Linked DNA regions of Arabidopsis thaliana. The protein of the gene in region 1 interacts with the protein of each later gene in a pairwise test. Each region holds a gene or a part of one and is shown on either strand. Other genes may lie near its edges.

The links.
Region 2: the proteins of NIMIN-2 (region 1) and NPR3 interact in binary tests that used the Arabidopsis thaliana proteins (3 or more experiments, as listed by UniProt).
Region 3: the proteins of NIMIN-2 (region 1) and AT1G01260 interact in binary tests that used the Arabidopsis thaliana proteins (3 or more experiments, as listed by UniProt).

What each region holds. Positions count from the first base shown.
Region 1 is NC_003074.8:9,467,313-9,476,747, forward strand, and holds NIMIN-2 (NIM1-interacting 2), read right to left. Parts: upstream 3,728-9,435; 5' UTR 3,578-3,727; coding exon 3,209-3,577; 3' UTR 3,045-3,208; downstream 1-3,044. Other genes in the region: AT3G25880 (NAD(P)-binding Rossmann-fold superfamily protein), read right to left, coding at 2,280-2,301, 2,408-2,563, 2,675-2,721; CRF11 (Integrase-type DNA-binding superfamily protein), read left to right, coding at 8,740-9,435.
Region 2 is NC_003076.8:18,223,617-18,235,050, reverse strand, and holds NPR3 (NPR1-like protein 3), read right to left. Parts: upstream 6,284-11,434; 5' UTR 5,733-6,283; coding exon 5,199-5,732; intron 5,111-5,198; coding exon 4,360-5,110; intron 4,286-4,359; coding exon 4,085-4,285; coding exon of another isoform or gene 4,020-4,084; exon of another isoform or gene 3,992-4,019; coding exon 3,717-3,991; 3' UTR 3,473-3,716; downstream 1-3,472. Other genes in the region: AT5G45113 (mitochondrial transcription termination factor-related / mTERF-like protein), read left to right, coding at 1,530-2,774. UniProt on the Arabidopsis thaliana protein: Salicylic acid (SA)-binding substrate-specific adapter of an E3 ubiquitin-protein ligase complex (CUL3-RBX1-BTB) which mediates the ubiquitination and subsequent proteasomal degradation of NPR1 in response to SA.
Region 3 is NC_003070.9:100,417-112,230, forward strand, and holds AT1G01260 (basic helix-loop-helix (bHLH) DNA-binding superfamily protein), read left to right. Parts: upstream 1-8,529; 5' UTR 8,530-8,914; exon of another isoform or gene 8,915-8,989; 5' UTR 8,990-9,178; coding exon 9,179-10,951; 3' UTR 10,952-11,283; downstream 11,284-11,814. Other genes in the region: AT1G01240 (uncharacterized protein), read left to right, coding at 267-1,262; AT1G01250 (Integrase-type DNA-binding superfamily protein), read right to left, coding at 4,315-4,893.

The DNA.
Region 1 (9,435 bases):
ATTTTATTGTATTACATATTATAGATACATACTTGAAACTACGATCACAATAGATATAAATAAAAACGATTTTATGAAAGAGAATTCTCTCTGCAACCTATCTCAGTCTGGAAAATATTAACCTGAGAAGATTTGGATATCGCAATCTTAAAAAGTTAAAATTATGTCAAGCTCAGATAGCTGTAAGAAAGAAATTTCTTAATTACTAAATATTTAATCTTTTTACCATGTGTAGATGATTGATTAGGATCTTATAAACTTGTACCCAAAACGACTTTAGCACCCAAAAAATAAAAGGTTATATCATTTCATTAATTTGTATGCTCATGTATAACACGTCATTTATGTGGCCAATATGGACGGTCCATGTAATCCAGACAAAATTGTTCGAGTTGTAATTCTTTGTTTGGTATAGCGTTTTGTTGGGAAGCAACCGAAACAATCGTTTTCGAGCAAAGCCATTTGCAAAAACTATGAAAGCCTTACGAAAAGAGAAAATGATGATAGTCAACTATTATAATGCTCTAATAGTTGGACCCTAATTGTAATAGATTTACGTATAAAAAAAAAGACAAATTTTGGATAGACCTTGTATATCAGATTTTCCAGCACATGTATAAAGCCGTGCAGGTCTATGTACATATCTCGATACACAGCTATATGTCATGCCAATACATATCTCGATTAAGATTAGCTTGACTAGCAACCTAAGTCCACAACTACTACTATTGTGAATGACTAGACTTTTAACTCGTTTAATATATTGTTTGTGTTAGAAAGATATAATAGATTTTAAAAGAAAAAAAAGATTTGAGAATTATGTATATAAAACAAAAAGAAGACATGTTAATTTGCTTCAATCATATCATTTCGTGTTAGTAATTCTATATCTTATCATCCACTTTTGACTTATTCAATTAACTTAAAGTATCATAGGAAAGAACGAGATAGCACGTCATATTAAAATGGATGGATGTGATTCACACTTGCACAATTCTCGTCTTGCGCTAAATTTCTGTCCAATTTCGTCTGCCAACCTACAACTTACAAGGTCCAAAAGCCCTTTAATATAATTACGCATTATTAGTATTTTCCAATGTCAAGAAAACAATAAATGGACTATAACTCTCTGCTTAATGCCTAAAGGGCTAGAACAATTAGTCAATTAGTGGATAGACGATTTTTTAGAGGTTTAAATAGTTTTCAAATAAAAATAAAATATATTTCTGTATTAATATAACATAATAAAAACAAGTTAATAGAAATAAATTGTATATTTTAAATTAATCAAAATACATAAGCAAGAAATATGAGTATTCAGTATTCACTAATTTTAAAATACATAAATTTAAAAGCATTAGGCTAAATTCACCTATCTTACCAAAATCTATCTAATACAATTAATCTGCATGATAACTGGATAATCTGCTAAATCTAACTAGCTACTTAAGAGGTGGTGATCTACGCCTAGAACGTCTAATCATGATTTAGGAGATTTTAAGCGGCTACACATTTACAACATAACATATTATAAATATTATATTATAAATAAAATTCATAGAAAACTATCTCTTAGAAAAATAAAAATATGAAATTATAAACAAAACTTAGATAAAACCATTTATAATTCATAGCAAACAATATATACAAAGCTAAAACTTATAATTTAAATTGATATAGTTGGAAACAAACAATATATACAAAGCTAAAACTTATAATTTAAATTTATATAGTTGGAAACAAACAATATATACAAAGCTAAAACTTATAATTTAAATTTATATAGTTGAAAACTAAAAAATAAACTAAAATAAAACTTATGGAATTTTAGACAGCCAAAACGGTTATTTAGATATCACATAAACGTCTAAAATCTAGATGACGATCAACTAGGGATGTCAGACGGGCGAGCACGCGACCAAATGGGGGGTCCGTGATGGCCCGTGCTTCTTTTCCATAAGTGGTGGTCCGGTCCGCCAACGACCACATGCGACCAATCGAAGCCCATATTCGCCTCGCAATGTCCATTGGTCTAACGGTCTGGCCCGCAATCCTGTTCTGTTCTAGTTGTCTCTGAAACACACTGTGTTGTTCTCGTCTCTGAAACACAGTGTTGTTCTCGTCTCTGAAACCTTCGCTTATGGAGAACTTCTGTTCTATTGCATGCCTTTGAAGACAAGAGACTTTGACCGTAATAAATGGTTATTCCACAAGTTTTGTAATTCTGTGTTATCACCAAACACAAACTGTTCAGTCTACTCCATCGTTAATATCTAGGTTCACCATTGAATCTTCCACCAGCTATAACCAAACAACGACGAAAAAGAGATGTCATAACTATTTAACTACACAAATAGCATCTAAAAATAGCAACAAAAAAAATCAAAAACTAGTCATTACTTAGTACCTATGAAATTGTTTCCAAATGTCTCCAATTAGAACCTTGGATCCTTCAACGATGGTGATACTACCAACACCACCAAGGACGAGATTCTTCAAGGCATTGGAACCAATAGGACCACAATTGAGTAAACAGATACTCGCTTCTTCCAAAGTCCCTTGACTTCACCTCAAAATCCTAATCAATCAACGATTACTTCATAAAATTTCCTCCCAACAAGATTCGTTCGAAGATCGATAGAATAATACAAATGTAGAGTTCGAAGAGACTAACATAGTATACATGAGTTGACGATCGTACTTGGCTTTAGGTTCCATCATTGTTAGAGATGAGAGATCATATGTTCGTAAGTCGTAAACAGAGGAAGAAGAACAAGCGCGTCGTCCACAAGTCCGCAGACATTAATAGATAAACCATGACTAATCCACAATCCAAAGTTCCAAACGCACCCAACCCGCAATGCCCGCTCTTTTTTTGGACTCCCTTATACAGGCCCATACCTACTCTGCAATATTACTAAACGGGCCAGGCAAAGGCCCAATTGATATCTTTACCATCAACACTTTTTTAAAACATTGATTTTAGTAAAATTTATGTTGTTTAGGAACGTCAAACGCTTAAATAGCTTTTGTTTGACTTGTAGTTTTGCAAATATATAACTTCTCTTTTGACGTATAAAATAAAACTGAAGAATCTGAAATTTGGATAACATGTTAATAATCTTCTTTTACCATTTTTTTCAAAAGTATTGTAGTTAAAAAAAAATTGATTATTGTAAGAAGGGGAAAAACATGAAGGACTACAAGTCTACAACGATAAACTAACGCTGTCTGGTTCCGGTTTACAGTTCAGATCCAAACCCAAACCCTGTAACCCGACCCGATTAATCTCATCGAATTCTCCGTCTCGAACGCCGTTACAATCCAACGAGTTTCTCAACCCAAGATTCTGACTCCGTTTCCTCTTCTTAGACGGTAACTCTCCCTCAGCAACACCGCCGTTAACTTTCGCAACCGTTCGTGTCGCCACGTGTACTCTCCGTAATATCTTGAAAAACTCATCCACCTCTTCCTCCGTTACCGTCCGAACAACTTCCGTCGACGGTTTCCCTCTGTTACCGTCAGATTTTCCGTTATCTTCTTCTACGCGTTCTTCTTTCTTCAAAGAGTTGTTCATGTTAGCCAGAAGAAAATGTTAACGGCGTCGTTTAAGCTTAGTCAAGAAAAAATTATTTGCTGATTTTATTTTGCTAAAATTTATAATGAAACTCTTATAGCCGTCGGTGTGGAACTTAGACGGTCGATATTGTCAACAACTAAATAAATTGGACGGTGGAGATTGATGCTAATGACATCATCATGCGATGTTTTAAAGCGTAAGTATCATGACGTCACACTTTATTGACTTTTGGAATAAAGGAAGTCCATGTGTGGAAAAATTGGTATCGGCTATATTTTTAGAGTATATGTAAGAAATAACTTTTGACTTCAAAAGAATACACAAAATAACCTTGGACCAAATAGTATTTGTCGGCTACAGAAATTTTGGCAATAGTTAGTCTATTTTAGCCTTTCTCTTTCTTCTTCCTTCTTTTGTTTCTTTTTCATCTTCTTTACGAGACTTTAGCCATGGAGTTCTCTTTCTCTCTTCATCTTTAACACAATTCATCTTCTTCAGATTCACCATGTCATTTTCTTTTTCTATTTCTCTCTCCCTCTCCTAAAATAATCTTCACCACCTCTCATAAAATATATCATCATATCTCTTTATTTTGTTCACCTACATGTTCTCTCTTTCTTTTTCCATAGAAATCTCTCTATCTCTCATTCTTTATTTTCTCTTTTTACCTGAATTTTCCGTCAATGTCGTTGTGATATAAGAGATTAGATTTGATTTTAAAACAAATGTCTGATTTTAAAATGCATGTATTTTAAGAACAAAACATGTTATTAACACTGATATATTAATATTTGTCATGCTATCCAATAAAAACTCATGAAATAAATAAATATTTGTCATGTTATCCAATAAAAACCCATGTAATATTGTAACAATTCTATATGTTTTTTTAAACTTCGCGATCTATAAGAGAATTGCATGCTTTTTATAAATATTTCGTGCTATTTCTGAGAAACACATTATTTCAGAGAAACATATATATCGTGTATATATATTCTGTATGTATTTTAAAGAATTGCATGATTTTTGTAAATATATCATGCTATTTTAGACAAATACATATAAACTTTATAACTAAAGCCAATGGCATTATTGTAAAAATAAGTAAACACAAGGATATTTTTGTATTTTCTCTTTTTCAGAAAATGTTATTTACCTAACTTTTCTGACACAATGTCATTCTCTCAATTCTTTTCCATTTCATAGTTAGTTTCTAATATTACCCATATTTTTATATACATAGAGATCTATATTTTTATAATTTAACAAAGACCAAAAAAATTTGGCCAAACAACAAATAAATAAGGAAGACTAAGAACTTGTGAATTGTGATCATCGTTAACGTGGGGAAGATTTTCTTGCGATTATTATTCCTAGTCTTATTTATTTATTTATTTCCACTATCAATTTAAAATGACACGTAAATTTGTAATGATTTTTCGAATAATGTAAGCACTAATTGATATTGGTGTTTTAACTTTTAACAAAAGAAAACAAAGATCTACATATGGGCCTAAAGTAAAAGCCTTTTAGTTAAGTACATTATAATTGGGCTTTATATCTTAACAACGTCGAATCAATTGTAGGGCCGACGTGGGCGGCTAAGCTGTTTCCAACTTTCCAACTTCCGACCAGCTCCACTTGTGTCTTTCGCTCTCTCTACACTTATGTTTTTTTTTTTTCAACTCTCTGTTTTGTCTGACGTGTCCACTTACTAATAATTTTTGAAAAAACTTTCCACATATAAAAATTGCTTGATGGTCGTCGTCGATGGCTGCATTATTTATGAATGTATTAGTCCACATGGTGAAATGTCTACATTTTAAACACCACGTGACACTGATAATCCGACACTTGTATGTGTGAAATCAATGTAATGATCCCTTACTCTTTCTTTTTTGTTTTTCTTTCAATAGAACAAAAATATTGCGAATTTATCTAATAATGTTTCTGTAATACTAAAATTATTTTAAAAGTTTTTATTTAATATATTGTTAATTTGTCTAAATTTTGTCACGACCGTTTTTCTTCATGAATAGTCTTTGACGTAGTTGAACATCCATTTTGTATACACTGTTATAAATTTGCACACATTTTGTGTTTCAACAATTTTTAAAAAGTATATATGTAGTGTACAACTTTACTTTATTATTGCTTTACTTTTTTTTTGTCTATTGTCGTTGAAAAATGACATCAAATGAATCTGTTGCCTTCCTTACGTAGGAAACGTTTTGTTGAAATAGTAATAATTAGTAAGGGTCATTGTATATTGGTGGAGAAAATGTTTTTCTTACTTCTGTAATTGCATCGTCTTTTCTTCACGTAGGGTAGGCAATCACATGCATTCAGGCGTGCGTTCACTGTTTTCTTTTTTCTTCTAGCTTTTTGTTTTCCTACTATATTGTTGCAGAAAAATGTTTAGTTTAAACTAAATTAATTATCCAACTCTTTAAAGTGGCAATCTTGTAAATAAAAAGGGGAGTAGGTCTGGACCAATGTGGCAATGCGAGCGATATGTTAAAAAAGCTGTGGAATAAACAAAATTTTGGAAATTAGGAGTTCCTTTCGTTTTATGGAATTGAAAGAAAATGACACTTTCAATATTTTTTTGGTATTTCTTTAGTAAAAAATGTTTTAAATTTTTAATCGATCGAATCGTAATGAACCTTACAAAAAAATCATAAAATTTGAAGTTGATATATAAATTTTAATCTAGAGATGTTAACTTTTTGGATTAATCTGGAAGCGACCTGTTTTAAGTTGTTTCAAAACTATTAGGACCGAAACCAAATAGAATCGAGCAAAAAATGTTAGAAATTTTTATTTTATTTTGTGTTCTTTAGGTTAACCAAATGTTCGTTCATGGTGTAAGATATCAAATAATGGATGAGCTTAACCTCTAAAATACAAGTTTAAATTGATCGGTTCAAATCGGACCGAACTTAAATGATTTTGCAAGTTATTAGAGTGATCATGATCATGTTATGTTACGGAATATTACAGAGTAACTTAACTTAAGCACTGACTTAGTTGACCCAAAAAGAGACCATTGACTTCATGAAATGCTTGAGTGTGGAAAAAATAAAACAGAGTTATTCAAAAACGTTTTGAGTTGTGAATTATTCTCATTAACATTGTATTTATTTGGTGCACAAAAAAAAAAAAAAAAAAAATTGTATTTATTTATACCCACTAAAGATGGGAAGAAGACTTGTAAATTATGATGAAAAGTCCCTCGGTTGGTAGCAACTAGCAAATGTGGGGATGGAACAATCCTCCACGTTCGAAATTGTTCTTCTTTAGCACAATCAAGATACTGCAAAGTAAACTACCTCTAATGTAATTAATTAACCTCACAAATTGTTATGTTAATTAATGGTATTGAATTATACTCGTCGATCTTTTGTAAGATATTTTTGTTGAATGCCGAAAAAATTATCAGAATCTATAATTGATGTTTTTGTTTAAGAGTCAATTTGGGAGAATGAGTTAAATTACTATAGAATACAAGTATACATCACATCAAATAATATGAATAATTCACTAAACAATGAAGGAGTAGTTACTAGTCACTCTCTTTTATTTATTTTTAATTAAAAAACGAATATATATGTTATTGTAGTTTAATACTATTAATAAAATAAAATTCTATTACTTCACTTAGCTAAAAGACCCACAGTGCAGTAACAGTGAGAAGTAAATTTCATGAATAATGTATTACAATACAATAATAACTTGTTCGATACAAAGTATTATTCCTTTCACAAACTAAATTTATTTACCATATATCCATAATATAATTCCAAAAATAGTATGTTTTATTACCATATTGTAAAAGGGAAAAATGTCATTTAAATCATCACTTTACCATTTTCGTTGGTTTAAAACATAAACTCTCGATTTGGTGATTTAAATCCTCAATTTTATGTTGACGTTTAATTTAATCACGAATTCTCGTTAACTAAGCCAATTAAGACACATCGTTAAAAAATTTTCTAATTAAAATTTTTGAGTTTTTCTCTATTTTTCTTCAGAATCTCTTATCTTCTTTGGAATTTCTCTTCTTATTCGAATTCAAAGTAATCTTTCATCTTTAGGTCGATTGACGATACCGGGAAAAAAAATTGTGTCTCAATTGGCTTAGTCAACGAGAATTTGTAATTAAATTGAAAATCAACATCAAATTAAGAATTTAATTCACAAGATCCAAAATTCATACTTTAAACCAACGAAAATGATAAAGTGATAATTTAAAAAACATTTTCCTTATCCCTATTGTAAAACTATTTTCACCAATCTTAACCGAAAAAATGAAATAAAACTGTCCAAAAAAAAAAAACCAAATGCTAATAAAAAACGAATTTAATTTCCCATCTTCGTTTTTTTTCTTTCTTTTAATGCTTTAATAAATTTTTATTGAGATCTGTGTTTGAACAATCGTTTCTTAAAAGATTTTTAACATCTTTTTAAATTCCTCGGTCTCTTAAATTTACCAGTTACATAACTTTCTTTTATTTTTCCGACATAAATTAAAAGTTTTGTCTTTGGTAATAGAGAGGCAGAAAAATCTTGGCCATAGATTTGTCATCTGTTTTCGATTCGTTTTGATTCTTTACTTTATCTTCTTCTTCTTCTTCTTCTTCCTCTTTTTGAATCTTTTATCTTCTCACTTTTCTTTTTCACTTTTGGGAAGCTCGAAGAGCTGAGAGGAGTGTGAGAGAGAAAAGGATCTTTGAAGTCGCCGGAATAATTTGTTTAACCGGAGCTCTGTCTTTGACTCTACGCTTCTCTCTCTTCTTCTTCCTTCTTCGTCTTCTTAATCGCTTTCTGCTCTGTTTTTCTCGTTCATCAAGCTACATCTACTAGCTCTCTCAGTGATTGATTTCTCACAGTTTCATCGATTTCCATGCGTTTAAGACCTAAAAGGTAACTGGGTTTGCTAAAGTTTGTTACTTTGAATGGTTTTTATAGTTTCTCTGTTCGAATCTGAAGTGGGTTGTTGTGTTTTTGCTGGTTATTGAAACAGGACTTGTTCTGGGGTAAAGGACTTTTCTTGTTCTTGAGAGAGTTCATTTTGAGGCTTTTCTGGGAATTTTGAGAGGTTTTTTAGGGTTTAAGGGGGTTTGGTTTTGAATTTCGCACACCAAGTGTTCGATAAAATGGCTGAACGAAAGAAACGCTCTTCTATTCAAACCAATAAACCCAACAAAAAACCCATGAAGAAGAAACCTTTTCAGCTAAATCACCTCCCAGGTTTATCTGAAGATTTGAAGACTATGAGAAAACTCCGTTTCGTTGTGAATGATCCTTACGCTACTGACTACTCATCAAGCGAAGAAGAAGAAAGGAGTCAGAGAAGGAAACGTTATGTCTGTGAGATCGATCTTCCTTTCGCTCAAGCTGCTACTCAAGCAGAATCTGAAAGCTCATATTGTCAGGAGAGTAACAATAATGGTGTAAGCAAGACTAAAATCTCAGCTTGTAGCAAAAAGGTTTTACGCAGCAAAGCATCTCCGGTCGTTGGACGTTCTTCTACTACTGTCTCGAAGCCTGTTGGTGTTAGGCAGAGGAAATGGGGTAAATGGGCTGCTGAGATTAGACATCCAATCACCAAAGTAAGAACTTGGTTGGGTACTTACGAGACGCTTGAACAAGCAGCTGATGCTTATGCTACCAAGAAGCTTGAGTTTGATGCTCTGGCTGCAGCCACTTCTGCTGCTTCCTCTGTTTTGTCAAATGAGTCTGGTTCTATGATCTCAGCCTCAGGGTCAAGCATTGATCTTGACAAGAAGCTAGTTGATTCGACTCTTGATCAACAAGCTGGTGAATCGAAGAAAGCGAGTTTTGATTTCGAC
Region 2 (11,434 bases), on another chromosome or scaffold:
ATGATGATTCTCAGTCCCTTCTGCTGCAGCTGCCCAACACTCAAGAGATTGTTCTTCAACTTTGGGACATAGTAAACTTTTGTTATCTTTTGTGCTGCCCCATTAATGATGAGTCGGAGACTTCCTCTTCCTTCTACACTCATCTTCCTGTTATCTCCAAGTTTAACACTATGCTTGAATGTTGAGTCAAACTCCACAAACCACTCTCTTGTGCTGCACATGTGATTCGAACACCCCGAATCTAAGAACCAGACCTCATCGTTTCCTGCTCTTTGAATATCAACATGCGCCATGAGCAGAACATCTTCCTCCAGTTCTGCATAATGAGCAGTCTTCTCCCACTCCGGGCATTCGAATTTGAAATGCCCCAGTCTGTGACATTTGTAGCACTCCACTGTTTCTTTGTTGAAGTTTGTGCTACCTCTGCCACGTCCTTGATATCCTCCTCTTCCTTTTCCACGGTTTTGGTGTCCACCACGACCTCTTCCTCCACTAGAATCCCACCTGCCCTCAATCTTAAGTGCACGCTCATCATCTCCATGTCTACTCAGCTTCTGTTCGTGCACTAGTAGTGAGCTCTGCAATGAATCCACTGAGAGTTCTGTGATGTCATTTGACTCCTCAATTGCACACACCACATATGTGTATTTCTCCACCAATGTTCTCAGGATTTTCTCAACAATCTTTGCATCCGGCATGCTCTCACCAAGGTTTCTCATGTCATTTGCCACCACCATCACCTTTGAGAAATACCCATCAATGGTGTCTCCCTCTTTCATTTCTAACACTTCAAAGTTCCTTCGCAGTCTCTGCAGTTGGGCGCTTTGAACCTTCTTGTTCCCCTGGTACTTTGTTTTCATGGACTCCCAAATATCTTTAGCTGTGTCCTTCTTTGCAATCGTCTTCAGAGTTGCCTTGTCGATTGAAGCAAAGAAGTAATTCTTTGCCTTCAAATCTTTGAGCTTACTCTCTGCAAGCTCTGTTCTTTGGGCTCCCGTCAGGATCACGTTTCTCTCTGGCTGCATAACTCCATGCTCAATGAGATCCCACCACTCCTTGGACCTCATGAGATTCTCCATGAGCATTGCCCAGTGTTCGTAATCTCCGTCGAATTTTGGAATGCTCAAACCATCTTTCTCACTCATTTCTTTGAGCGTTTAAGAACAAAAGCTCTGCTACCACTTGTTGTAAACGAACTAGTGACTCAGAGAACAAATGTGTAACTTGTGTGTTATTCTCATAGACGATAGAGATCTTAAATAGATCAAGTTACAAAGATAACAAGAATGCAACAGACTGCTAAATAAACGGAACTGAAATGCTAGTCTATCTCCTAATACTTAGGGATGTTATTTGAAAGACAAACAAAGTCATAAGACTTATTCAAACTGAAACTGAAAGCAACGGACTTTATTCTTCAACAATCCCATCAATGAGTTTGAACCATTTTTCGAGAGTTTGGGTTTGCGTCCATCTGATATTTTGCGTTTCATTCAACGGAATGTGGTGCTTTGAGTGATGGCAGTACCATGTTTGAGAACTTTCATGTTCTTTGCTATTATGGGATTCCCCGTGACAAGATTGGTCGTTTGTATAAGGAAGCAAGAGAGATTTTTGTATACGAGAATGGGGTTTTGGCATCGAAACTTGAACCTTATGAGATCTTGGTTCTTAGAAAGGCTATAGTCATTAAGCTTGTTACTTGTTGCCCGTTGCTTCTGGTTGGTGGCATTGATTGTGAGTTTGTTTCTGTGGTAAATAAGTTGAAGGGATTAAACTTAGGATGCGATTGGCTTGCGCGGTATTTGTCAGTTAGAAAAACATATAACTGGCGCCGGATTCTTGAGACAATGGAGCTCCTTGAGAAGGTGGGGTTTAAAGAGAAGAAGTTGAGTAATCTTTTAAAAGCGTATCCAGATTTGGTAGGTGAAACTTCTGGCAATAAAGCTTATATTATGTTTGAAAAGTTTCATAAAGTTGGACTTCAGATGAATGAAATTGATAAATTACTGATAGACAACTCCGAGATGTTATTAGAGAAATCTGTAAAAAGAATTTTAGAGGCGTTGAAATTCTTGAAATGTATCAGAATAGAAAAGCAGTTTGTCGTTAGGTTTTTACAGTGTCACATGAAGCATATCTGTTCATCCTCTTTGCTAGTACCTAGAGCTGTTTGGAATAGATTGAAAATCAGAAGAGATGAGTTATGTCAGATCATTAAGGAAGAGCCTTTGAGATTGTTCAGTATAGCTTCTAAAACTAATAAAGGTAGAATTGAACTTGATTCACTGGATTCGAGGAATGCAGAGAAGACGACATTCTTGTTGAAGTTAGGGTATGTAGAGAATTCCGATGAGATGGTGAGGGCTCTGAAAAAGTTCCAAGGGAGGGGAGATGAGCTACAGGAGAGATTTGATTGCTTTGTGAAGGCTGGTTTGGACTATAATGTGGTTAGCCAGCTTGTTAAGCGGGCGCCTCATATACTTAACCGGCCGAAAGATATCATAGAAAAGAAGATCATTATGCTAATAGATTATTTGGTTTATCCAATAGAATCCGTGATAGAGTCCCCAACATATTTGTGTTATAGTATGAAGAGAATACATCAGAGATTCACAATGTACATTTGGTTGAGGGAAAGAGATGCAGTAATACCGAGGCTGACACTAGGCACTGTTGTCGGTATTTCTAATACCCTTATTGTGCCATACTTTGTCAATACCCACCCGGAAGGTCCAGCTACTTGGGAAAATATAAAGAAAGCATCTACCTGATTAACTGGTCCGTTCAATGATATAACGTTATCTTCAATCTAGTGCAGATGTCTGTTGATCTATAACATTTTCTCATTGCTTAGCTCACAACCAGTGAAACCTGGAAATTCTCAGTGCGATGGAGAGGATCACAGAATATGTCGATGCATAGTGAAGTATTTCCGCCTGTGGATTTGATTGTACCTCTCTACTCATCAGTATAGATATAGATGCCAACAAACGAACAAGGAAGGACTTCGAGAAAGCTGAAAGAACAAAGGCTCTCCGTAATGTTGAAACGCCACTGAACTCAGTGAAGTGAATTTTAGACTGGACTGAACAGAGTGACAAATTGGAAAGGCACAGTCCTTCGTTGGTACAATATTCTTCTATTGCTTTACGATGTTGGAAAGGCACACTTAACATATAATGCAACTTGAAATGCTTTCTTTGTTGAAGAAGACAGATAGACAGTATTGGTCAGACAAGCCCCTGCCCCGACCCTATGCCAAAGAGAGCAGCTAACATCTACTTACTGGGACATACATGTGACAGTTCTGTTCAGAATGCATTATTACAGGTTGTTTGGAAGAATGGTTTTTGTTCTTTACTCTTAGCCACCAGTAGTCTTATCTTCTGTAATTATGTAAAGAGATAGCTATGATTGACAAATGATCATGTTTTTTCCTGACTTTTTGTGGAGTGTCTTTGTTTGTTTAAGTTTCAGGTATCTGAGAATATCTTGTAGATAACCTAAATATTAGATTTTTGTATTGAAAACAAAAGATTGCGTATAGTTAGAACGTTTTGGGTTAATCAGCACTCCTAATCTTGTACATCTATCTATCCATCTCTCTTTATTGAAACTGAACCTAAAGCATCTGTATAAAATCTGAGTAACATCCATAAAGAAAAAACCCTTTTAACAAAGATATCTAATTACATTTGACTTATGGTGCAGTTTCATGTTGTGTTGTGCAGGTCATCTCTTATGGAAGAAGAAGAAGGAGAAGATGAAGCAGAAAGACAAGACCGCGCAATCTTAGACTCTTTGTCTTTGCTATATGCCTTTTGGACATCATCCTTAAGCTCTCTATATCTCATTCTTTTCAATCTTCTTTCATGTGTAGATCCCTTCTCAAAATGGAAATCGTCGAGGATGTCGTCGTCTATATACTCAGCCATGTACTTATCTAGAACCTCTGAACCATATGGAAAAAACCTTCGACCAGTCTCAACTGCATTGTGAAACGGTAATGAAGTCAGTCAAGAGAAAATGAGCAACATAAGAAGATGAAGGGTAGACTTACAGAGAGCAAGCTTTTTGTTACCTGTTTTCATTAGAGCCACCATACGAGTAAGAAGTCTTTGGGTTTGCATATGAGGAGTTTCGTTTAAATCAACCTGACTCAAGTTTCCGGTTAACCCACTCGAAGGAGGTGACAAACCCGTGAACTCACTTGTACCTTCTACGTTACCAATGTCCATAGCAACTTTAGCTTCCGTTGGAAAGAACAACTGAGCAAGCCCCACTGCAAAAAAGGTAGAAGCTTTAACAAAAATGTAGTAAAGATACAGAAGAATTCAGTAATTTTCAGTCAATTACCTCTCTTTTCTAGGTACAACAGTCTCATCTGGAGATCTTCAGGCATAGAAATGGAACACATTGGTGTATCTAGAACCATGGGGTTCTTCCTGATTTCTCTTTCCAAGATATCGATGCATAACCTGGCTTTACTAGATTCACGCCCTTTAGCTGTTTTGGTATGATAATCCTTTGGATTTGTCAGTCTTCTTAATATATTAACTGCGCTACGTCCGTCAGATGTAAACTCAGATGCATTGGCGCCTTTATCGATAAGCGATATAATGATCGATGGCTCTCTACGCATCGCAGCAAAATGAAGAACCGTGTAACCCCGGGAATTCCTGTAGTTCACATCACCCATATCCAGAGCAAGAATCTCGGCAACAACTTTCGGATCACTATACACAACAGAATAATGCAGACCATTGGCTTGATCTAGAGTGATATCTGACTCAGTCAAAAGAAGCTTCACAAGCTCAACATCATCTGAATCCAAGGCCTTGAGAATTTTACCGATTCTTTCAAGCAATTTCTCCGAAATCTTGGGACTGGTTTCTTCGTCTTGCGGGGATATAAGTCGAAGCTGTTTAATCTTCTCTGCTACTTCGGGAGGAACTTCCTTTTCAATACAGAACCTGTAAAGATCTGACCTCGCCACTCTCTCAATACACTGATCAAGAAGCTGAGTCAACTTACAATTGAAAGCAACCATAAGAATGGGAAGAACATTCTCAACAAGGGTCTTCTCCACAAAGTTACAAAGCCGCCGCTGCAAGCACACAAACCTTTTAGTTCTCATTGAGGTCTATGAATTAAGAAACAAAGAGACCGAAGAAAAAAGAAGACTTTTCACACACCTGAAAAGATGAAACTAGCTCAGGCACTTGGAGAACAGAGGAAGCATACATCAATTGAACAACAAAATCAATGGCAGGTCGACAACAATCATGAGAACAAACTGGATCAACACAAGTCGAAACCTCCAATGGAAAAGGCTTTAATCTCCCAGTATATATATAACTCAAGAAATACAAGAAAGCTTCATGAGCAACAGCTCCATAAGGTAACATCTCTCTCAACTGATACTTTGGTTTCTCAGTTTTCGAAATTTTCTTTTCTTTCTTAAACAAATCTTGGAAAAACTTACTTCTTGCAGCTAAAATGCATCTATGAACACCAACTGGAACACCATCAACAATGATCTCTGCATCACTGTAATCACAATCTGAATTACTAAGAAGCTGCTCAAGATTGGAGCTGAGTTTGGTTAGACTAACAACTTCAGGATTAGAAGCTGAGCTTGATGAGAAGTGATTGGACCCAATAGAACCATAAGAGAAATGAGAAGATGTGAAACTCAAAGATGATGATGGCTCAGTCAAAGTAGCCATTTTCTCTTCTTCTTCTTCTTGTAGAATTATCAATCTTGCATGAAGATCAAGAAGATTACACAAGTCTGAAGATCGGTTTCAGATACAAAAGCCCTAAATTTACATTTCTAACAAGGAATCAACCAAACCCAGAACCAAAAGAGGAAAATTTGTACACTTGGGGATTTGAGTTATGAAACTATTACTCTTACACCTCTGATTCAATGTACCACAAAAAAAAGTCAAAAGGAAAGGAAGAAACTTTGGACAAGGAATCAAACAAAATTGGGAGAGAAAATAAACCCTAAGAGAATCTGACACAACCAAGGATATAGAGATTGAGATCTGCACAATCGTAAGAGATAAGATCAAAGAGAAGGCAAAAGAACCAAATTGAGATGTATCAAAGAGATAAAAAGGAAGAGAATTTAGAGGAAAAGTCAAGAAAGAAAGAGAGGTATATAAAGGATAAATGATGATGAAATTGAGAACAAACAGGACACAACAGGTGCAAGTGATGGTGAAAGAAAGAGACAGCTTCAATGTGAAGGAAGATACAGAGGAAACAAGAGAGTTAATATAATAGTTTTTTTTGTAAATTTAATAATATGAATTAATAAGCATTAGAATTAAAAACATGGTCTAATAAAGTGTATAAAGAAAGACTCAAATGAAAGTTGACAAATAGAAAACAAAGACTAGAAAAATCCGTGTATGATGCCAAAGGTTCTCCGTGTATGACGCCACTCACTAACATTTTCCACATCTTTCTCTAATTTAACAAATCTATGGATAAACACATATTTTTTTTCTCATCAAAATCACTATTTTTATTTGACTGCGATATATCACATCATTAATATATTTTTATTTACATCATATTATTCAATAGTTTTAATTTGTTTCTTAGGTGTAAATAACTTGTAATGATATGCCAATTAATGCCGTCACGAAATAGCATTAAGTCAAGAAGATTAATATTAAGAAATAGCCGTCACTATTGATGACGGAAGGAAGTGACGAAAGCAAATACGAACGGCATATGAATGACGTGGCTTGTGTGTGGATTGCTGCAATGTGATGACGTATTAAACAATTACACTTTCGGAATAGTAGATAAATCATAAAGTAATAGTAGAGATTATAATAGGCAATAGCTATGCCTATAGTGGTCCAAATTTTTATTAAATTTATAATTTTGTGATGACCAAAGTCATTCTTTGTGGCCTAGTTCCAAATTTTAAGACATAAATAACGTTTTGAAATGAATTGAATATAGATATGAGGGACGACAATTTTGTCTTGATTTTTTTTTTTAAAACAAGAAGATTCTTGGCTTCGTAACAAAGTGGTGAAGTCTCTTATGCTAGCATTCTAGTCGCGTCGGAAATTCGACTCTACCTACAAGGCTACAAATACAATCGGTGAAATGCGTTAGCTGACTATTAAAAAAAAAAAAACTCTTTAAGGATAGTCGTTGAATAGTTTATTCATCAAATTTTTATATGAAATAAAATTTAATTAGCATTATTTCGATTGGCAATGATTCCTATGATTAAATTTTCGACTTTCGGTAATGCTATCGAATATAGAATTCTAACTATAAATATATATTTTTAACAAAAAATAACATATAAGTGTAAACTTGGATAGTGACAATGCAACGTCACTAATACAAATCATATTAGTATATTACTTTGACTTAAACTATCAAATATACGCTAAGTTTTGGTCACTAGTGACGCTGCGTTACTTTGGTAAACCATATGTTAATTTGTATCTTTCGTTCACTAAGTATCACTAAATCATATATTAAACCATCAACGTCACTAATACAAATCATATTACTATGGCTTAAATCATCAAATATGCGATAAGTTTTGGTCACTAAATAATTATTTTATGTATTACTTTGGCTAAAACCATCAAATATTAACAAGACAAAAAAAAGTTTCCTACCAATTCGTTATTTAGATCAGAAGTTTTAACCCATTCAAATTTACAAATTTCTTACATAAACTAAGTATAACGATGTAACCCATAAAGCCTTGAACTCACACAAGATTGAGGACATATATATTGGTAGTTATTCAAAATTGTTATATCACTTTATGACTCAAAAACGTAATTTGTTTTGTTGATGTCAATGGATTGATTTCTTTTGTTTTCATGTTTTTTTCTTTTTTTGCCATAAGACCAAAAACTTCAGGCTTTACTTCATGAAAATCCTAACACTTTTCATTTTAGTGGAATATTTAAATTCTTAACAAAAAGACAAAAACAAAACTCATACAAGAGATAAATCATTCTAAAGAGGAGTGTAAACTAGTAAAGCGTGACCTAACACAAGAGATAAAAATCATTCTAAGAGGAATTGGAAACGAAACTTAACTTGATGAAACAATTAAAAAGAAAAATAACAAAACAAAAAGAAAACTCTTAAATTTTCCATAAAAATATATAGTCAATGCCGGCTTAACTATAGGGGCCGATAATATAAACTTATAGGGTACATAACTACATATACATAAATTTATAGGGCACAAAAAAAAAAATCTATACAAGATGGACACAATTTGTTTTTTGTATATACTCAAAAGGCACCTAATGTTTTTGTTAAAAGAAGAAGTATATAAAAAAATTATGATATTAAGGAATATATCTTTTAAATTTGTCCCAAAGCATCTAAAATGTATGAACCTGTATATGATGAACTTTTTTATATTTTGGAAGAGAAAACAACCTTGATGACTCATGTAAATGTATTACTGGAAATAAAAATTGAAGCATCGATCCAATGGGGTGGTGTGTCAGTGTCGGTGATGCTTCCTAGTTCCTGCTGAGAAGCTACGCGGAATATATGGTTTATCATACAAAGTCTCCTTATGTAATTTTTTTATAATATCGAATAATTTGATATAATATCAATTAAAAAAGTTTATATAACATGCGTTTCCACCTTTGATATTTGAGTTTTCGTGTATTAAAAGAGACTTGGCGTGGCTTGGACCGGGTCATATACAACAATGTTTTTTAATCGTGTCAAAATACTCTATGTGAAAAGGTTTGCATAAATAAAGTAAAAATAAAAGGCATACAGAGTTTTGAACAAACTATTTTCTTTGTAAAGAACCAACAATTTGGTAGGAATAAACCGCAGCTACTTGTCAATAACAACATACAACAAGTCAATTTAATGAAACTATTTATGTAAGTAACTAATGAAGCTTTCCCACTTAGTTTTGTTCCGTTCAAATATCATCGATTGTAGATTGCCATCCAATTAGAAGAGTTTATTTGTAGTCTTGTCTCTCGAAGTAGAAGTTAACAGTTGGAGAATGTGTTTGTAAATTGTAGATTTACCCGTACCATTTCACCATTCATTGGTTGTACTCTTTCCTATCGTTTACGACATATACAAACAACTCCATCCGATGTGCTAAGAAACATTGAAAGCAACCGAGATCGGACAGTTCTTGCTCAGATTAAACGTCCATTACAATGAGGATCGAGTTGAAAATGCTGTCACAGAGGACCACTGATAAGATTCTAACGTTTCTTTACTAATGGGCCCGATGCTAACCATTAATGGATCACTGATCAGATTCTAAATTTTTAACCTGAAAGAAAAGAAGATTTCGTCCATAAATGAAAAAAGAATCTAAAGCATATAAGCTCAAACAAAACTCGGCTTACAGAAATTAATGGGCCTGATGCTGTGAGGGGGGTTTCCAATTAGGTCTGGCCCAGCTTTGATAAACCTAGTTTTCATTCGGTAATATACTTGAAAATGGAAAATAAATATAATAATCATTAGCTTGATTATCCAAATTCACAACTAATAACTTTTCTTCTGGTCTGAATCAACAACTGTATCATAGTTCTTTCAAATATATGTTCAGAATTTAGAATCTAATATATTTCTAGTCTTATAGATTAACGAAACTTTATTTTAATCGTGTAACTAACGTTGACTTGTTACCGATACATCCAAAAGCATGAATGAAGCTTAAATCCTTGATCGGCGTGATCCTGGCCATGATGAAATTCCATGGAATGAAGTACACAAAGGGAATATATGATACTACATAAAAAATAATAATGTCAATTATATTTGGCATATCTATATGCATATGAAGTTTAAAATGTTCATTTTAAAGATAAGATTAGATTACATTTCACATAACTATACTTCTAATCTACATTAATATTGACTCGTGTGTCATGCGTTATTTTTTGTTCGTAGATATAAAACGAATAATATCCCATGCATGTCAATATCAACAAGCCGGAACATTATATATAATCCGTATATATATGAGTCATAAACTTCATATGATTTGAGGCAAAATAACACATTATTTTCGTTTACTAACAAAACCAAAATTGAAAAATGGCTACGACTACTCAACACATGAATCAAATCTTCCTCGTACTCCTCCTAATCTCCTTCGCAATCTCTCCGGCGATCTCAACGGTTCCAAAAGAATGCGAGACCGATTCAACAGACTCTTGCATCGATAAAACCAAAGCCTTACCTCTCAAAATTGTAGCAATCGTTGCCATCCTCGTGACAAGCATGATCGGAGTCGCAGCTCCTCTCTTTAGCCGATATGTCACATTCCTGCATCCAGATGGTAAAATCTTTATGATCATTAAGTGTTTTGCATCCGGGATCATCCTAGGAACCGGCTTCATGCATGTTTTGCCCGATTCTTTCGAGATGTTGTCCTCTCCATGTCTTGAAGACAATCCATGGCACAAGTTTCCCTTCACTGGCTTTGTCGCTATGTTGTCCGGTCTTGTAACTCTTGCTATTGACTCTATCGCTACAAGTCTCTACACCAAGAAAGCTGTCGCTGATGACAGCGAAGAAAGGACTACTCCTATGATAATTCAAATCGATCATTTGCCTCTAACAACTAAAGAACGTAGCTCTACATGCTCAAAACAACTATTGCGGTACCGAGTTATCGCCACGGTTAGTTGAGCCTTTATTACAATCTCATTTAGTTGTTTCTTTAACATATGTATACACATACTTCCGAAAACACTATCAATATTAAATATTTTATTCACATATTCAAAAATCTTATGTGTAAAATTAGGTCTTGGAGCTTGGGATAATAGTTCACTCCGTGGTCATTGGACTATCTCTAGGTGCAACCAACGACACATGCACTATTAAAGGCCTTATTGCAGCTCTTTGCTTCCATCAAATGTTCGAAGGGATGGGTCTCGGCGGTTGCATCCTTCAGGTACAATATTTTCTTAATATCCTTTTTTTTATATGTGGTCCAAAACAATACTAAACAAAACCGTAAAAGCTACAAACAACGATTTCAAAATAAAGATAAAATTATTATATATAAGCAAATAGAATCATAATATTTTGTTCTTTATCAAATCTAAAAGAATTGACCATAACACAAACATATAGATTGAAGGATATTAATCTGAATTTTATGTAAATACGCGCAACTTTTGATAAATCTATATATTTTCGATAAAAGAGTGTTGAACATATGATGATAGAAACATATAGAATTTTGAGAAATATATACAAATTCTTTTTGAACAGGCAGAATATACAAATGTGAAGAAATTTGTGATGGCCTTCTTCTTTGCTGTTACAACACCATCATGAATCGCTCTTGGTATAGCCTTGTCGAGCGTTTACAAAGACAACAGTCCAACAGCATTAATCACGGTAGGACTGCTCA
Region 3 (11,814 bases), on another chromosome or scaffold:
CGTTGAATTGGTTTTGATTGAATATATTTTGGTTCCCAGACGTTGCGTGTATTATTTAATGTAAATTCCTTAAATCATTGGCTTATCTATGAATCAATCATTTGCTTAGAAGCAATCTCATGAGTAGCAAGAAAAACGAATTAATCCTTCCCATGTCTTTTATGTTTATATTACAGGATCTGGGTGAAAAAAGAACAGTCTTTTGATTTGGTGTGTTTCTCTTTTCTCTTAATTTTTTAGGATTTTTGTTGTGTCTTAATGAAATAATGGGAGCAGCTGAAGCAAGAGCATTGTGGCAAAGAACAGCTAGTCGTTGCTTTGTTGTTCATGAGGATGCTAAGATGGCTCCGAGGTTAGCTTGTTGCCAACACCAACAATCTTCTTCGGGCAACACCGAAAAAAACAGCTTTTCTTCCGGAAGTTTTGGAGATTCCTCTGATTTCTCTTGTGATACCAAATGGTGGCTTAAGGGATCAACTGGTTTTGATGAGGAGGTTACAAACTCCTTTCTTGAAGATACCAAATGCAAGAAATTGCATGAATTTGTCGACTTAATCGGAATACGAGAAGAAGAAGACTACAGCTTTATTAGCAAGAAAGCTGACGCTACAACACCGTGGTGGAGAAGCACGACGGATAAAGATGAATTAGCTCTCATGGTGGCGACTAAATCGGTTGATCATAATATCCAGAATTGTGATCTTCCTCCACCTCAAAAACTCCACAAGAGTATTCACTCCTCGAGTGGAGAAAAAGGGTTTAAAACAGCGGTTAAATCGCCATGGAAGCAAGGAGTTTGGAAGGATCGGTTTGAGAGATCTTTGAGTTACAATGGTAGCACAGAGAGCAAGAACACGAGTCCAATGTCTTCCCCTAGAAGTGATGATCTAAGCAAAGGTCAGCTTTTAGAAGCACTAAGGCATTCTCAAACCAGGGCAAGAGAAGCAGAGAGAGCAGCGAGAGAAGCTTGCGCTGAGAAAGACCGTGTGATAACAATCTTGTTGAAACAAGCGAGTCAGATGTTGGCTTATAAGCAATGGTTAAAGCTTCTTGAAATGGAAGCTCTTTATCTGCAGATGAAGAAGGAAGAAGAACAAGAGGAACAGGTCAAAGGAATGAATCTGAAGAAGAGAAAACAGAGAGGGGAGAAGAAGAAAAAGGGTGAGACTGGGAGATATATGATGGCTTTTGCATTAGGGTTTAGTCTCATTGGTGCTGGTTTGCTCTTAGGTTGGACTGTTGGATGGTTGCTTCCCTTCTAGAATCTTGAAATGTCTTCTCTTTGGTCACTCATCTTTTCAAGAGTTTTAGGTTTTATAACTTTTCACTTTACCTCTAAAATTGTGTGTATATTTTGTTAATGTATGTATTGTGTGATGTTTGTGTAAATTTAATCTTCTGTAGAAGTTTATTTGGTTAGGGTCTCTCTCTCTCTCTCTCTCTCTGCTACACAAAATTGAGAAGCATCAAACTTGGAAATTCATCAGAAGCTTGAGAATGTTGGAATCAAATAAATCTTATATTTGAGCTGAAAGTTTGCTACAAGTGGACCTCATTTGACCCAATTTTCTAATTAAGGCCCATATGTTTTTCAGACCCAAACTTTTTTATTTTATAATTTCTTTTTAGGGGTTCCAAAAAAATAATAGTATTTGCGTTTTGAACTTCTAAATTCTAAGCATGGTGGAATAAGATTTAATGATTATGGTCTTAGTTGCTTTAAAATTTATCACGGATGTTTAAAATTAAAAGTGTGATCACTTGAATAGTTTGTGTTTATGCATGCTTCTGTGAAATATATACAAAACTTTTTGACTAAATCCCAAAATTCAAATCTGTATAACGAATTCCTTTGATAAATGTGACTTTAAAAGATAATTCCAAAACATTGAAAACATATGTGTTTTAACTTCTTCTTTTTTTCTTTCAAATATCATACAATAGGCAAGTCTGGATGATGAGACGTCAATTACTAGCACCGACGACTAAAATACATGTTTTCATCATCAAATGTCTTTAAAATTCATATCTCTTTTGTTTGTTTGTTCATATCTAAGATAGCAATTAATATACCTCTATCTGTTGGGGTCAAATGTGATATTATATCTCCGTATTTATTATGAATAATGGTTGTAAGAAGCTTTATTGAATTTCCAGCAGAAAGATGTTTTGTTCATCATTGAGTACTACTACTATGGTTCAAAATGAAGCAAAAAATTTCCCGATTTATAATAAACCATAATTCGTTTTTCTTGGATGCTATGATCGATTCCAAACCACTAAATAGCACTAAATTGTTGTTGCAACAAATCCTTGTCTGAAATAATAAATTCGAGTATCGTTTTAGCCGTTATTTTTAAAACACGTGTTGTATTAAATATCTTATTATGTGGTGCCAAATTGTATAATGACGATACAAAGGACAAATGTTAATAATTTCAAATTTCCCACCCAGACAACTCTTGGTTCTATGCTTGTACCATCTCCGCGTCCTCGTCTTGTCGTGTGTCCTACACGAACATACTATTAGACTATTAGTGTTACAGTACTACAGCTTAATTAAAATATGCACATGTCAAAATATTTAAGGACTAACTGGTCAAATAGCCCCAAAACAATTCAAGATTGATTAACTAACATGTTCTCTAAAAGAATTGCTTCAGTAACCTATAATGTGGTATTGAATTCTCGAAAATGCATTTAAAACATCTTTATATGAGCTTACATATAATTGACTTAAATTGTTTGACGGAAATACCGAATTGTATGATGCTGTGAGAAAAACATGAAATACAAATATTCATGTATAGAGTCGAGTTTAGGATTTGATCAAGTGTCGAGCTTAATTAGGACTCGAACTGATAATACAAGAGGTACATATACGGATGCTTCTTTTTTGGACGAAACATATATATGGTTCAGTTCTTAAACACGTATATTCATACCAATCATATATATATTCTGGAAAATGAATTGAGTTCACAATTTCCATGTGTTTCCACGTGGTCAATTTAGGTCGAACTTCAAATGTTTTAGGAAACAACCGTTAAGAAAATCGCTCTACGGATGTATTCCTGTCAGTTAAAATTATCAAATTATGTGGCTTGTTTGCGACTTTGCGTTGTGTGTTTTTTGGCATTCAAGAAAAAGAATGCTGGATTATACTAAATAGGAACCAAAGTAGCATGTAGTGTCGTGATAAACGACGTGACAAATTTTCTCGCCCGCCCGTTTCCTCTTGGTACGAAAAGACTCCGAAGCCTTGGTGATTCGAACTGTCGAAGAGTTAGGTTAAGTCCAAAATGTCAAATGAAGCATGCAGCTTGAAGAGGGCACAATCGTCCTTTCCCCTGATATTTATCCCATATTTAATACATGACGCTAATGGTTAGCTTGAGTACTGAGTAACTTTAAGCGACATTTATAAGTATCAATGAAGCTCGAGTACTGATATTATTAACATCTTGGAATTAAATAGCTCACTATCAGGGGAAAACTGAAAAGCGAACAAAAATTATTGGAAGAAGAAATTATTGCCAACCGTACAGTTACAAGTATAAATGTCGATATATCGACACACCAAAAAAAAACTATTGCATTCACATTTAAAAAAAAAAAAAAAAAAAAAAGATGTATACTAGTATAATAGTATATCTGTCACAAACACATATCAGGAGAACATCTATCACGAACCCCATGACTCATTTAAGGAGTCTTTCTTTTTTTTGTTTTCTATGAAAAAACAAAACAAATTAATATGATAAATATCGATAGTAGTTTTAAAGTAATATTTCATATTGAATATGGATATGGGTCCGAGAAGTTACTATTGCATGAACAACGATAGAAATTGGACCAAACTAGGAATTATGCTAGGTATCGAATTATACTTTCCCTACATAAATAATAATCAGAAGTTAAAAGCTCCAAATGATTAAAAACCATTACTGTAGAGTCTGTACTTATAATCAGTACTCAGTAGCTACATAATGTTTTCAATAAATAAAGAAATTCCTTAAAGAGTTTTTGACACTTAGTTAGTAAAGTTGCACAAATAAAAAGGTTTAGAATAAGTAGCAATACTTATGCAAACAAAAACTGTATATAAGAACATACACTTATACGTATTTTTGTAGATGCGTACAAACCTGATAACTAACTTGAGAAACAGGTATCTAATTATTAATCGCGTAAAACAATAAACTAGAAACAAATAAATGAAAATATACATGCATATGCATTAAATTAAGTGAGCCAACACAATAACGATACAACGTACACGTATAACGAATACGACACAATCGACAGCAACACTCACAGACACGCCATGAACTGATACTGATACAAGTCTCCGTCGACAAGCCACGTGGCATCATCTCCGGCAACAAAAGGCTCCGGCGACCACCCACCTCCACTCATCATAAGCTCAGGCAGCTCAATGCCTTCCCAGAAATCATCTCCGTCGTCTATTCCTGCCACGTCATCATCTCCCATTTTGATGATCTTCACGGCGTTGGCTGCTTTGGCCGCTGCGACTTGGATATCTCTGGGAGTACACGTGGACGGTCGAGGTAGATCCTCGATTTCTTCAGGGAAATTCAGCTGAGCTTTTCTACCTTTTAGACAAAACGCTGCCACGTCGTAGGCCTTAGCAGCCATCTCCGGCACCGGAAAAGATCCGAGCCAAATCCGAGACTTTTTCCGGGGCTCTCTGATCTCAGAAACCCATTTTCCCCATCGGCGTTTGCGAACTCCGTGGTACACTGGATGCCTCGTGGTCGATGAGCTGGTTTCTTTACCTCCTCCGCCGCAAGATTTAACGGCAGAAGCGGTGGCGGTTGGTTCGTTGTTGGTAACTGGTGGTGATGATAGCTTCATTCTCTGTGGTGACATTAAAGAGTTTGTTATGTGGTTAAGTCACACTGTTATCTACATTTATAATCTCATCCAATCCCATTTTCTAACCAAAAGCGTTACTGTTTATTATCTGAATTTACATAAATGCCCCCAACGTACATTTAAATCATAGACTTTCGATTACCGGAATGTAATTTTCCAAATCTACTGCCAAATGGATAGTAGTACGTAGTGTGCGTAATTCTATTTCATATGCCGTAACTAATAATAATGATATACTCTTTATACAAAAAAATAATATACAGAAATCAGTGGGAAGGATTTTCCCTATTTTATATCTGTAGTTTGTCCATGGGTTGTAAATTTCTTACAATAAACAGCTGAATCAAATTAAATCAGTGATAGTTTTAGTACCAAAAAGATGATTTATTAAAATAAAAATTGCGCGATCTTGCATAAAAACAAAATTGAAGAACATGGGGGCTACTGATACCGCCGATGATTAATTAACTTTATATGTCAAATTAAACCAAAAAGTATATATGTCAAATCTTTGTCTCCCCAGCAATCGGGAGTGGTGGTGGGGAAATGCTTTCAATAGCTCATGTACTGGTGACGTTGTGTCCTATAGTTTTAGCACTTCTTTCAACGAATTGGTAAAAATAAGTGTCGATGGCAAGAAAGAGACTAAATAAATCTTATGTCTGAAAAGATTATGAAACTAAAGTCTAAAAGGGTATTAAAAATATATTATGTAGTATGTAATGTTAATAGCTTAGTACAGTAGTACTAGTACACCTACTCACATCTTGACATATCGTAGTGAACTTGTGTATACACGTTGCATATTAAGATTAACACTCAAGTATTTTACTCCAAAATTTGAGTACAAGCTTCAGCCAAAGTTAAAATAAGTATCTGACAGTGGAAAATTATAAGTGTGCTTACAATAATTTATTATTATAATGAAATCACTTTGTTAGGTGTAATTTTGTGTGCATGCATGCCATGATCGTGAAAATATATCTACAAAGAAACCCTTTTCCTTTCCTAATTATTAACTTATTAATTTATTTTCTTTTATATATATGATATACTTGGGCAATGCAGGTCCACATAGGTTGCTTTTAAAAATTAGCATTGATTATTTTTTGAAGGGACCATAGTCTAAACTCTAGTCTATACCACTCATAAATCTGTACTACTCAAAAAAAATGTCTTTCATGATTTTGCATTTTGCTACTATAATTACCATTACAAAAGAATATAAACTTTTCCCATGATGTAGTACGATTATTACAAGAAGAAAAAAATGACAACTAGCTAAAGTTATCATTCTTAAGGAAAGAAAAATTTAAGGTATCACAAGAAAATTCACGTCTTCGTACGGTGATTTGTAATCCCTTAAGCAAAAGGGCAGTTGATAAATATCACCTGAAGTCTATGGTTTCCACATTTTAACCCATCACGTCACTACATATTAACAAGGAACCATTGAAATTTACTTCAAGTAATTAATACTAATATCGCAATCAATTTTTTTATTGAAAAAATTGGGGAAATAGATAGCAAGAGGAGTTACGAAACTCACTTTCTTCTTACATCAGATGAGACCATACACGGCTTTACTATCAGTTTTGTCTCCGGGTGCTTTCGTGTAAACAATTTTAACACTTGTTCGTTTTTAAAACAGTAAGTAACTGAAAATATATATGTATATGTGTGTGACGTATATATGTATATATATATTTCTTTTTTTATTGAGCTTCGAGATTTGTTTTTTTGTTCATACGATGAGCTTTAAGTTTTGGTCGGTTCTTTTTTCCTTTTCGTGAGTTGTTGGTAGATTAAAGTAGTCATCTTATGATTTGTGTTTTTTTTGGTTGTTACCAAAAAGGTGACGATTTTGTTGACGTTAAACACGGAATTCATTGTAACATGAATATATCAACTATAAACGCCAAAATGGGATTTTCTTTTTTTTATAAGGTAACAAAATTAAGGAAAAACTATTGTTACAACTTCAACTTGCAAGTATGTTTCTGAAGCTAGAGTTTACAGTCACGTGTGAAAATCAAACCAATTTGGATCATTATTGAAGATAAATGAATACTTGATATATTGTTAGTACAAATTTAAACAAAGCGATAGGTTTAGTGGCATTCAGAATAAGTTCACCAAGAACCGGCACTACTTTATCCGGGATTAAATCAACTCTTACAATAGAGTTAACTGGACTAATAGGCCGATTTGTTGTGGTAAAACAAAACCAATGAAATATATGATAAGATTGAGATTTAAGAATTCAAGACTGAGTCCGTTGAACAGCCCATTCTAATTCTGATTGCTAGATAAGGGATAGATGGGGGGCATTATTAAGGTTTGGGAAAAAGGCTGATATCACGTTTGACCTAGCACATATGTGGCCCAACATTACAAGAATTCCATAGAAAACCAGTATTGTAATATCGGCCCATATTATATTCTTGACGACTTGGAGATATTGTAAGTCGACGTCGTTGTTTGACTTAGATGGGAATGGGACCCAAACGTCTCGAATAAAGGATAGTTTAAACACGTGAATCACGCGGTCCCCACTTTTTGCTGTGTGTTTCTCACCGCCATACATATATTATACCCACTCGTGACTTCATTTTCCATAATTACTATATATACTAATTTTTTGTTTTAACTTTATCGTTTGTTAAAGATTTTTCCAAAATAATATAGTCATTGTATATTCATTTTCGCAGAGCCGTAGTTTATATTTTGATGATAATTTTATGACTTAAAGAGTGAAAGCTATAAATATATTACAATTCAATTGTGGTTGCGAGAGAATAAACAAAAAGAGAAAGAGAAAAAAAAAACGTTACAGAAGAGAAAGTGCAGAGCTGTGCAGGCGCATTTGAAAATGAAATTAAAAAGAAAAAGAGATCCAAAGAAAATTAAATGCATCTCACGTTCTTCTCATTCTGGTCATCTCTCCTAAATCCACGTGAACTTCACGTGCTTTTCACGCCCTCCTCTCTATCGACTTGGCGTTTCCTTTCTTCTAAAGGAGTTGAATTGTTTTGTCAACATTTATCAAGTTATTTAGTAATTTGTTTTTTTGTTTTGTTTTTAAAAAAATTATTTACTCCCGTTGTAGAACCACCATCAATAATATTACCAAAAATAATAATCAAGGATCTAAACTAAAATAAGCCTTTTATTTTGTATAATTCTGAAAGCATTTGAAACTTAAGGAACAACTCTTTAGTCTTTGCAACAAAACAAAACACAACAAAAACCGAATATTTAAGCCTAACTTGAATGTGAATTGATTTGGTCAAAATTCCCGGTGCTTGACCACCGGTCTTAGTTGGCATACTTTGCAATTATGTAAACAAAAATTTTAAAAATTGAAAGCAAACTTCTAAATTTGGGTTTGGTTTCCCCTTTAGTTATTTCCATGAACATGAGAATCTAATCTCGAGTTGTCAGATAGTATTTGTTTAGATCTACACCAGTTGAGATAGATCTGTTGCAAATTTTTAATTAATCAAAACCCATAATTGAAAATTATGTCAATCAATTATTGACAAAAACCATGACATAATCTAAGGGGTTTTCAATCGTCGTGTATCAAAGACTCGAGACAAAGACTAAATCGAACCAGACCCGGTTTAAGTTTCTAAACTCAATTGTGTAGTTAAGTAGCTAACCATGGTTCAGATGAAAGTCTTTTTGTTTTGTTTTTTGTTTTGTTTGTTGGGGTTTGGTCTTTTAATAAAAAAGAGCACGAAGAACATGCGTCGGACTCTCTCTCTTCCTTGAATTCATTCAATTGGCCACGGCGACAAAACAGGGAGCCGATACAGCGAAACTGATACATCTTTTTTTATTTTCTGGATTCTTAGGGTTCTTTTTCGGGGAATTTAGGTAATTTGTTTGTCCATTTTGGTGGGGTTTGGGAGATTTAAAATTTGTGTTTTTTTTTGGGTCGGATTCTCAAAAATCTGATTTTGAGGAGAAAATCTCGGTGGAAGAGACTTGATTCAAATCTTCTTTACTGGTAAAAATATATTCTTCTCAATTCCTCATTTTCTGTTGGTGGAGTTTGATTTTTGTCATTTAATTGTTGTTAAAGAAAATAGGGGCAAGATCTGAGATCTCTGGGTGTTCCATGCAAAACTGTTATACTCCGCCGTATATTTGCATCTGGGTCACACTTCTAAACCCTATCATTTGACTTAAGAATCGATTTCTGAAGATCTGGGTTTCTTAAAAGTCTTTCCTTTTTGTTGGGATCCAAACAACAAAAGAAAAGAAAGCAGAGATGAATATTGGTCGCCTAGTGTGGAACGAGGACGATAAAGCGATTGTTGCGTCATTACTGGGCAAACGAGCTCTCGATTACTTGCTTTCCAACTCTGTTTCCAATGCTAATCTCTTGATGACTCTAGGAAGCGACGAGAATCTGCAGAACAAGCTCTCGGATCTCGTCGAGAGACCCAACGCTTCTAATTTCTCTTGGAACTACGCCATTTTCTGGCAGATTTCCAGGTCAAAGGCCGGAGATTTGGTTCTCTGTTGGGGCGATGGATATTGCAGAGAGCCTAAAGAAGGAGAGAAATCAGAGATCGTTAGGATTCTAAGTATGGGAAGAGAAGAAGAAACGCATCAGACTATGAGAAAGAGAGTATTGCAAAAGCTTCATGATTTGTTTGGTGGCTCAGAAGAAGAGAACTGTGCTTTAGGACTAGATAGAGTTACTGACACTGAGATGTTTCTTCTTTCTTCTATGTATTTCTCATTCCCTCGAGGTGAAGGTGGTCCAGGCAAGTGTTTTGCCTCTGCTAAACCTGTTTGGTTATCCGATGTCGTCAATTCGGGTTCTGATTATTGCGTTAGATCGTTTCTTGCTAAATCTGCTGGCATTCAGACTGTTGTTTTGGTTCCTACTGATCTTGGTGTTGTTGAGTTAGGCTCAACTTCATGTTTGCCTGAAAGTGAAGACTCAATCTTGTCTATAAGATCATTGTTTACCAGTAGTTTGCCTCCGGTTAGAGCTGTTGCTTTACCTGTTACTGTAGCTGAAAAGATTGATGATAACAGAACGAAGATATTCGGCAAGGATTTGCACAATTCAGGGTTTCTTCAACATCATCAGCATCACCAACAACAACAACAACAACCACCGCAACAGCAACAGCATAGACAGTTTAGAGAGAAACTCACGGTTAGAAAAATGGATGATAGAGCTCCCAAGAGATTAGATGCTTATCCGAATAATGGGAACAGGTTTATGTTTTCGAACCCAGGCACCAACAACAACACTCTTCTGAGTCCTACTTGGGTTCAACCTGAGAACTACACGAGGCCAATCAACGTGAAGGAAGTTCCAAGCACGGATGAGTTCAAGTTTTTACCTTTGCAGCAATCATCGCAGAGGCTGCTTCCTCCTGCTCAAATGCAGATAGATTTCTCTGCTGCGAGTTCAAGGGCTTCAGAGAATAATTCAGATGGAGAAGGAGGAGGGGAATGGGCAGATGCAGTGGGTGCTGATGAATCTGGTAACAACAGACCAAGAAAACGCGGAAGGAGACCTGCCAACGGAAGAGCGGAAGCTTTGAACCATGTAGAAGCAGAGAGGCAGAGGCGTGAGAAGCTTAACCAGAGGTTTTACGCTCTGAGATCCGTTGTTCCCAACATATCCAAGATGGACAAAGCGTCCTTGTTGGGAGACGCGGTTTCTTATATAAACGAGCTTCACGCGAAGCTAAAGGTCATGGAAGCAGAGAGAGAGAGGTTAGGGTATAGCTCAAATCCACCTATCAGCTTGGATTCAGATATAAATGTTCAAACCTCAGGTGAAGATGTCACAGTGAGGATAAACTGTCCGTTGGAGTCTCATCCGGCTTCCAGAATCTTCCATGCGTTTGAAGAGAGTAAAGTAGAAGTGATAAACTCGAACCTGGAAGTTTCTCAGGACACAGTGTTGCATACGTTTGTAGTCAAATCTGAAGAATTAACGAAAGAGAAGCTGATATCGGCCTTGTCTAGAGAGCAAACAAATTCAGTTCAGTCAAGAACATCATCAGGTAGATAGCCTTTTGAGAGACAGAAGAAGGTGGAAGTAAGTTTGTAATCAAGAACCGGTTTTGAATGGTTCTTTTTTTCTTCTAGGTATCTTTTGTTTTTACCTTTTTTTGGTTATATACCTGTAAGAATCCTCCAAACTAGGATTTTAGAAGTTTTATTGACAAAAGTAGACATTATCATTTACTCGTTTTACAGTGGACAAAGCTGGGAATTAAGTAATTAACGATAATGTTGTATCTGTTAAAGTCGTAGACTAGCTCATGAATCAGTCTTTATTCATTCTGATATGTCCTATGTGTTGGATTTGGTGAAGTGTTTAATCGACAAGTCAGATAAGTGTTATGGATTGGTCACGGAATTGCTCAAGAACAACAAAACACAGCTGATTCATTGCTTGTGAACAAGAGGAAACACTATGATGTTCGTGCACACCATTTTTAGTGTTCAAACTAACATAAACCGTTATCGCCTGGGGAAAACAAAAGTTTTAAGAAGAGAAACAGGTGGAAAATGTAACAAAAATAAAAATAGGTTCCACCGAGACTTGAACTCGGGTTACTAGATTCAGAGTCTAGTGTCCTAACCGCTAGACCATGGAACCGCTTGATGTTTAGATTGCAGTAAATACGTTTTTAATATGTTTCTCTATTGTGAGTCAAAGGGTAATGCGATGTTTCTTTCTAGATTTCCTAAGCTAACTCAGTCCTAATAAACCGATTAAAAAGAACATGAACAAAGCATGCAGATCATAAAAGTGTCACACAAAGAGAGAGATACATGTTAGATTGTTTTTTTTTCTTCTCTTAAATGATAATTAATCGTTCTAACAAAAACTTAGCTACTAGTCTTCCATGATTTGTTATATATTGA